2 linked regions of the Sus scrofa genome follow. The protein of the gene in region 1 purifies or fractionates together with the protein of each later gene. This does not show direct contact. Links are inferred from orthologs where the notes say so. Each region holds a gene or a part of one and is shown on either strand. Other genes may lie near its edges.

Region 1 (3,807 bases):
AAAATAAATAAACAGTAACATGTTATAGAAGCAATACGCTCTTGCTATAGATGATTGAAATGCAGAAAGCATTAAAGAACAAAAAAAACCCACCATAATTCAGTGGCCTATAAATAGTTATTGTTGATAGCTTGGCATGATTATCCCAGTTTTTGTTGTTTACATATATAATTTTCTAAGTGAAAAATACTTTTTTTTTGGGGGGGGGGCCACACCCACGGCATGTAGATGTTCCTAGGCCAGGGATGGAGCCTGTGCTGTAGTAGTAACCCAAGCTGCTGCAGTGACAGTGCTGGAGCCTTAGCCTGCCGCACAGCACGAGAACCCTGACTTTTCAGATTTTTACCATAGGAAGGGTGAAACATAGAAAATGTTAAAGTTTTTAATACCTCCTAAATCTTCCATCAGATTAGTACCTATTCTTTAATACCTCTTCCTATGTATTTGTAGACGTTTTAAAAACAGAATTAGGATTATATACAAGTATGTGGTTTTGCTTATAGATACTGTCACTTATGTTGTAATCATTTTCCCATATCATTAAAGTCTTACAAAAATATTTAATTGCTCTATAATCATCTACAGTAGGAATATATTATTTTTCTTATTTTAAGATGTTTAGATAATTTCTAACGTTTTCCTAATGCAGTTGAGACAGTGGTAAACATCCTTATTGCACCTAAAAATTTGTGCACATTTCTAACTGTTTAATGAGGCTGTCGTGTTAGGAACGGGATTTCTGGTGCGGAGGGTCTGTGCATTTCTAAGCCCCTGCTTGATGACTGCATGCCTTTGCGGCAGCCTCGTCCCGGCATCCGTCCCACCAGCGTTGGCTGCTCGCAGGCTCCGCAGCCGCGGCCCAGGTCACAGACTCCCGTGTTATGTGCGGGCTGCCTTTCTGTTCCTCTCCCGCACTCGCCATGCCTTTCTCTCTCGGGACTTTGCCCCTGGTGCTCCCTTGGCCAGGAGTGTTTTTTCTTCTTGCTGAAAGTAATTCTGACTTCATATCTCAAATATTTGTGTGCTCAGAAAATTTTTCCTAATCCATCAGACCAAGTCATGTCTTCCTGTTAAATGTTTTGGTAACACCCCATACTTTTCTGTCTCAGTTTTTATTTTGTTTTATTTTTGTCTTTTTAGGGCCGCACCCATGGCATGTGGAGGTTCCCAGGCTAGGGGTCTAATTGGAGCTGTAGCTGCCGGCCTACACCACAGCCACAGCAATGCCAGATCTGAGCCATGTCTGTGGCTCACGACAACACGGGATCCTTAACCCACTGATCCAGGCCAGGGATCGAGCCTGCACCCTCCTGGTTCCTAGTCGGATTCATCTCCACTGCACCATGACAGGAACTCCTGTCTCATATAAAATATGTTAGCATAAATTTTTTTTTGAGAAAAAAATAATACTGTCTTTTATGTCGGTTCAGGGATATACTTCACTTTGCTGCTCCTTTATTCTTCTCAAAATACTGTGAATAGTAGTTTTGAAAGTTTCGCTTGATGAGCCAGAGTTGATTTTTGTAAGTTACGCAAAGACTTCTGATTCTCCCTTCGTTTTCCTTTCCCAAGCTAATTACTGCAGTAGTCATGAAGGACTGGAAAGAGATTGTCGAGTCTTGTGACCTTAAAAATTGGAGAGAAGCTTTAGCTGCAGTATTGACTTATGCTAAACCAGATGAATTTTCAGCCCTTTGTGGTAAGAAAATGAGTTTTATATTTATATTACATATCTGACCAAGTATATTGGAAATAAAATTACAGATAGTTTTTTTTTAAAAATATTTGTAAACTCACTAATCACAGATAAGAAAATGAAGTTCTCATTTGAATGCTTTTCTCTGAATTTTTAACACCATTGCTTCTCTACCTACTAGTCATTATTTTTAATAGTATTATTTAAGGATTTTAATTTCAGACAGACCAGACTGAGACTCCTGCTTCCGCCATGTACTAGCTGTATAACCTAGAAAAAATTAATTTCTAAGCCTGAGACTATTCATATGTAAAATAGCATATCATCAGCTCTCACTTCATACATGTTAGCTTCATAAGATTAATAATTACAGCATTTCAGAAGAAATTACCATTAAAGGCCCTAACTAAACTGATAACTAAGGGATGATATTCATTAACCCCAAGAATAGAGGCTTCAGGCTGCTGGTATAAAAGCGAACAACCATTTGCTTCCTTGAAAGTATTATGGAAACAGAAAAATCACGAAGATGGTAACGTCATCGTCGTCAATAATCTAGAGTAGTCCTAGCTCTCATTGCTGGTTATTCCAAATGTGCCGTATTTTATTTCTTCCCCGGCTTTTACCAAAGCACTTGTACTCATTTCACAGGTAAGTATGCGCGGAAGGTTTATGTGACAGGGACTCTGTTTCTGCCTGCTCCTCGCTGGTTAGGAGGTTTGATCCGTTATTCTGAAACCATCGTTGATCTTCTCCTGATCTCATACACAGACTGCCGTGTGCGCCATCTTATTCGTTTTCCTTTTGATCCGTAGATCTGTTGGGAACCAGGCTGGAGAGCGAAGGTGATAGCCTCCTGCAGACGCAGGCGTGTCTCTGCTATATCTGTGCCGGGAACGTGGAGAAACTAGTTGCGTGTTGGACTAAAGCTCAAGACGGAAGCAACCCCTTGTCCCTTCAGGTCGGTATCTGGGAGACAAGAGATGCTTCTTTCCTAGTGTTGTCCTTCAGCCTGCTTATATTCTAGAAGGCGATTTGTTCTGGAAGTTCCTTCCTTTCACCTACTGAACACATCTTAGAAATTCTCTGGCTGGATAATTATGTGTGCTTGTTGCTGTATTTGGAGAGGCAGAGTTTGAGATGATGGGATGGTACAATGAGAATGCAGTTGTTTGTGAGAACACAGTTGAAATGTGCTAGTTTATTGGGGGAGGTAAATGGCAAGAGCATGAAGACAGCCCTGGAGCTTTACCCCTTCTCATGCCTCTTTCTCCGTCCTCCGTGATTGTGTCTGCCGTGGGCAAAGAAACAATATGGGACTTGCCGTGGGGGCTCAGCGGTAACAAGCTAGTATCCATGAGGACGTGGGTTCGATCCCTGGTCTCCCCCAGTGGGTTAAGGGTCTGGCGTTGCCGTGAGCTGTGGTGTGGGTCACAGACGAGGCTTGGATCCCGCGTTGCTGTGGCTCTGGCATGGGCCAGCGGCCCCAGCTTCAATTAGACCCCTAGCGTGGAAACCTCCATATGTTGCAGGTGCAGCCCTAAAAAAAAAATCGAGAAATTTCATTTTAATATTTCTTTTTCTCTCTACGAAGAGATCTTCTCAATAGGGTTGTTGTTTTAAAGATCACTGTTGAAACCAAAAATCTTGTAGGAATCAAGGTTTTCCTTCTAAGAGCTTCTGAGAGAAAACACTTGTTTCACGCTTCCGAGTTGGTGTGTTTATGAAGGGCGGATGGGATACGTTTCTCCTTTATACCTGAAGCACAGCGCCCCGTGGCTGAGAGGATAGGTAGTGAAGAGTAATATGAGAAACTTTGGGTTGAAACACCAAGCCTGTTTGGTATTTATATAACCTAGGAAAAATTGATTTCTAAGCCGTAGACTATTCTAAGCTGAAGGGCTATGAAGTTTTCCTCGGTTATATAGGAAACACCACCATCGTAGCACTGTTTTTTGGTAGTACTATTTTTATAGTATACACCGTGTAATGTTTCCTCTTACACCTGCTGGACCCCCGTTTCTGCCTTCAGACATCCGCCCGTCACTCTGGCTTTGGATTTTTGCCTGTTTTAGGTCACAAGACAAGTATCTGGCTATTGACGGATGTTT
Region 2 (4,542 bases), on another chromosome or scaffold:
AGACTGTCCCCAACCCTGGGTTCCATGTGACCTTTTTTTGTTTTGTTTTGTTTTGTTTTGAATGAAATAAACTCCTCACATTTATTGAGCACTTTCAGTTGCAGGCCTTGTTCTGAGTATCTTGCATATAGAACCTCAGTCTCTTTCTTTTTTTAAAAAAACAGTACTGATGAAATTCTAGCACCAGGAGGTTTGTTTGTACAGACAAGGAAATAAGGCACAGAGAGGCCAAGTAACTTCCAAGTGGGTTACTGTGTGCAGAACTGCCTGATACAGTGTTTGACACATAGTGATGAACAAGTTTTAATTTCCTTTGTGTTTTGTTTTATTTTTTAAAATCTTTTTATTTTATTTTAATTACTCAAATGAATTTATTACATCTGTAGTTGTATAATGATCATAACAATTTGATTTCACAGGATTTCCATCCCACAGCCCAAGCACATCCCCTCACCCCCTAAACTGTCTCCTCCGAAGACGATAAGTTTTTCAATGTCTGTGAGTCAGCATCTGTTCTGCAAAGAAGTTCAGTCTGTCCTTTTTTCAGATTCCACATGTGAGTGAAAGCATTTGATGTTGGTGTCTCATTGTCTGGCTGACTTCACTTAGAATGATAGTTTCTAGGTCCATTCATGTTGCAAAAAATGCTGGTATTTCGTTCTTTTTAATGGCTGAGTAATATTCCATTGTGTATATGTACCACATCTTCTTGATCCACTCCTCTGTCGATGGACATTTAGCTTGTTTCCATGTTTTGGCTATTGTAAATAGTGTTGTAATGAACGTGACCTTACTTTTGGAGAAACCATTGCCAGCCCAGCCCCTCCTGGATGCTGGGCTCTGTCCAGCTAAGGAGCTGGGTCTCCTCCAGCATGAATGGCATTTGAGCTGTTGACACCATTCTGCCACTGACAGCCCCTATCTGCACAGGTGCTGGGGTCTGGAGGTGCTGACCCTGGAGACACAGAGCCAGTTCTACTGAGCCCAGGAGAGCAGGGGCCCCTCCTGGCCTCCTGGCTTCTTCTGAACTTGCTGGGCTGTTCCTCCTACCCTTCTTTCCTGGGGTCACTGCCTTTCCCCTCCCCAGGTCCCCTCTCCCTGTCTCAGGGTTCCTAGACCTCCTCAGGACCTTTGCTTCCCTCTCTGCCTCTCACCCACGCTCCTTCTCACCGGCTTTGCTTCCTTGTGCCTCTTCCCTGGTCACTCAGTCATTCCACCAACTTGATCCTCACCGCATCCTGGAGGTGCCCACTGGCTGGTGTGGGAGAGCGTCTGGTTTGGGGAGAGTCATCTTCTCTAAGTCTCTTCCTCACTCCTCACTGAACCCTGCACCCCTTCATGTCTGTCTCTCTGACGATTTCCTCTGGCGTCTCCCCATCTCCCCGCCTCCTTGTCTCCGTTTCCCTATCCTCTGTCCCTTCTCAGGCTTTCCACATTTTAGATATAAAGACACAGAGGCCCTGAGAGTTTGGGTGATCCGCCAGGGCAGGGGGTGAAGGAGGGTTGGTCTCCCCAGTACCTGCCGCCCTCGGATCCCCGCCCCGCCCACCAGCCCCGCCCCGCCCACCAGCCCCGCCCCCACGAGGCCCCGCCCACACAGACCCGCCCTCGCCACGGCCGACCCCGCCCCCGTCCCGCCCCCGCCCCGCCCCGCCCCGGCTCGGGCAGCGGGAGGACCCGGAGCTGAAGCGCCCGAGGCCGCGGCGGCGGCGGCGGCGGCGGCGGCGGCGGGGACGATGTGGTTCTTTGCTCGGGACCCGGTCCGGGATTTCCCGTTTGAGCTCAGCCCGGAACCTCCCGAGGGCAGCCCGCCCGGACCCTGGGCCCTGCACCGCGGCCGCAAGAAGGTGAGCGCGGCCCCGCTCCGCAGGCCTCGGCCGACCTCGGTCTCGCCTAGTCAGCGCCGCCGGCCCCGCCGCGTCGCGCCCCGCCTGACGTGGCTGCGGAGCCTCTAGGGCAACGGGCCGGGGGAGGGGGACGGGTAGTGCCGACGTGGCGGGCGGAAGGACCGAGGGACCAACAGGCGCACCCAACCGGGGTTACGTGGGCCCGACTCAGTCCCCAAGGGCTGTCCTGGGGGGAGACCCGGCCGGCGGGTCTTCCTTTCCGGTACTTAGCTCCGGGGACCATCTCGGAGATGGAGTGGTCAGCTTGGGGCTCGGCCCACACCCCTGAGGCCCCTCTGTTCTGCCCCAGGCCACAGGCAGCCCGGTGTCCATCTTCGTCTATGATGTGAAGCCCGGCGCCGAAGAGCAAACCCAGGTGGCCAAAGCCGCCTTCAAGCGCCTCAAAACTCTCCGGCACCCCAACATCCTGGCCTACATCGATGGGCTGGAGGTACCTACCGGCCGCTCAGTCTGCTCTGTCTCTGCCCCTCACTTTCTCCCAGTCTCCTGCTCCTGCCTTCCTGCCCCTTCCCAGCCCCCTGCCCCAGTAACCCCCAGATTTGACTTCCCCTTCTCCACCCGGTCCCCATCACGTCTCTCATCCCCCTGCTTCTTCTCCACTCTGCGCTGATACTCCACGTCCTTCTTCAGACAGAAAAATGCCTCCACGTGGTGACGGAGGCTGTGACCCCGCTGGCAGCGTACCTCAAGGCTCGAACAGAGACTGGTGATCTGAGGGAGATGGAGCTCTCCTGGGGGCTACACCAAATTGTGGTGAGGTGGGGGGGTAGTGGTGATGATTGCAGGGATGGGGGGGCTGCAGGTACAGGGCTGTGATGGCTCCTTCTGTCCCCAGAAAGCCCTCAGCTTCCTGGTCAACGACTGCAGCCTCATCCACAATAATGTCTGCATGGCCGCTGTGTTCGTGGACCGCGCTGGGGAGTGGAAGCTTGGGGGCCTGGACTACATGTATTCGGCGCAGGGCAATGGTGGGGGTCCTCCCCGCAAGGGGGTCCCCGAACTTGAGCAGTACGATCCCCCAGAGTTGGCCGATGGCAGTGGCAAAGCAGTCAGAGAGAAGTGGTGGGTGACTGGGGGCGGCATGCCCCAACCTGCCCTGTTCTGGAAGCCCCTGCAGCTTCGGGCCCCCTAGATTATATGTCACTCCCTTGTCCCTTGCTGCCCAGCTGGGAGGGGACCAGGGTCCTCAGGGTGGGCCCACTCCTTGCTCCGAGGATCCTCAGGGAAGTAGGGCAGGATAAACACAGACTTTGGGGTTAGGTGGTTCTGAATTTGAAAATTGTGTCACCCGGGGTGGGTGTCTTTGCTTCTCTGAGCCTCAGTTTCCTTATCTGTCAAATGGGGCTGATGAAACCTACTTCTCGGGGCTGATGGGAGGATGAGCTGAGGAACAGAGCACAGGGTCTGCCATGCAGTGAGTGCCTGGTGCTCAGCATAGGTTGGAGTTTTATGCTGGCAGGTGGCTGGGCCTTGAGCAGCTCTGGTCACTGCCTCAGGTCAGCCGACATGTGGCGCCTGGGCTGCCTCATCTGGGAAGTCTTCAATGGGCCCCTACCTCGTGCAGCCGCCCTGCGAAACCCTGGAAAGGTGAATATCTGACCCCACCCCAGCCCCTGTCCGCCAGCCAGGTGGCCCCTGCCCTGACCTTGCTGCTTCTCCCACAGATCCCCAAATCACTGGTGCCCCATTACTGTGAGCTGGTCGGAGCCAACCCCAAGGTTCGTCCCAACCCAGCCCGCTTCCTGCAGAACTGCCGGGCGCCTGGAGGCTTCATGAACAACCGCTTTGTGGAGACCAACCTCTTCCTGGAAGAGATTCAGGTGAGCCCCCTGCCCCACTGTGGGCTTTGGCCCGACGTTCTTCACCCAGTCTCCACCACCCACTTTTCAGGCCCCCTGAGAATTAGACCCTTGGAGATGAGCACAGACTGTAGAGCTAGGCTCTCTGTGCTTAAACCTTGGCTCCAACTGTTATTTATGTGTGACTTCCCTTGGCTGACACTCAGTCCCAATAATAGTACCTACTTCAAAGAAGTTTGGTGAGGAGTCAGTGAGTTTGAAGTGCGTGGTATAGTGCTTGGCCCCTAGTAGGAGCTTAGTGTCTGCTCCTGGCCCCCTGTTAACTGCACACTTACATTCTAGACCTGTCCTGATGCTGGGCTGTGGTGTGGGTAGCAGGGTGGGGAGGGAGAGTCAGGCTCAGACCCCTGCCCCCCAAGGATGATCCAGCTGAGGATAATTGGACCAGGCCTCCATCTCACTGGGAGAAAGGGACAGAAAACATAAAGGAAGAAACATGTGCTTCCTGGGATGGGGATAAGGCCAGGAGAGTGAGGGTGGGGTGCTCAGGGAAGGGCTCTCTTAGGGGTGATTTGAGCTGAGACCTGAAGAGTGTGAAGGTGGGAGGCACGGGGATGGTACCCGGGGAAGAATGTTCCAGGCAGAGGGAACAGCAAAAAATGGAAGATGGTGAGGAGGGAGCCCTCGGCCTAATCTCTTTGAACCTCCGTTTCCGTATCTGCATGACGAGGTTAACCGCAGTACCTGCTGACCACAGGGAGTGAGGGGGAGAGGCGCTGTCCCGCTGTCCCGGACACCTGCTCTCACCCAGCCTTGGTGCCTGAGAATCTGGAATA

Evidence for each region.
Region 2: the proteins of SEC31A (region 1) and SCYL1 purify together in Homo sapiens (affinity purification with mass spectrometry; 3 studies listed by BioGRID and IntAct, counting the BioPlex papers as one, with this or other methods). This does not show direct contact. The link is inferred for Sus scrofa from reciprocal best matches to the Homo sapiens genes SEC31A and SCYL1.

The regions. Positions count from the first base shown.
Region 1 is NC_010450.4:135,466,347-135,470,153, forward strand, and holds part of SEC31A (protein transport protein Sec31A), read left to right. Parts: intron 1-1,572; coding exon 1,573-1,699; intron 1,700-2,511; coding exon 2,512-2,657; intron 2,658-3,807. UniProt on the Homo sapiens protein: Component of the coat protein complex II (COPII) which promotes the formation of transport vesicles from the endoplasmic reticulum (ER).
Region 2 is NC_010444.4:6,730,577-6,735,118, reverse strand, and holds the start of SCYL1 (N-terminal kinase-like protein), read left to right. Parts: upstream 1-1,641; 5' UTR 1,642-1,736; coding exon 1,737-1,847; intron 1,848-2,196; coding exon 2,197-2,337; intron 2,338-2,537; coding exon 2,538-2,660; intron 2,661-2,742; coding exon 2,743-2,969; intron 2,970-3,403; coding exon 3,404-3,494; intron 3,495-3,571; coding exon 3,572-3,727; intron 3,728-4,542. UniProt on the Homo sapiens protein: Regulates COPI-mediated retrograde protein traffic at the interface between the Golgi apparatus and the endoplasmic reticulum. Involved in the maintenance of the Golgi apparatus morphology.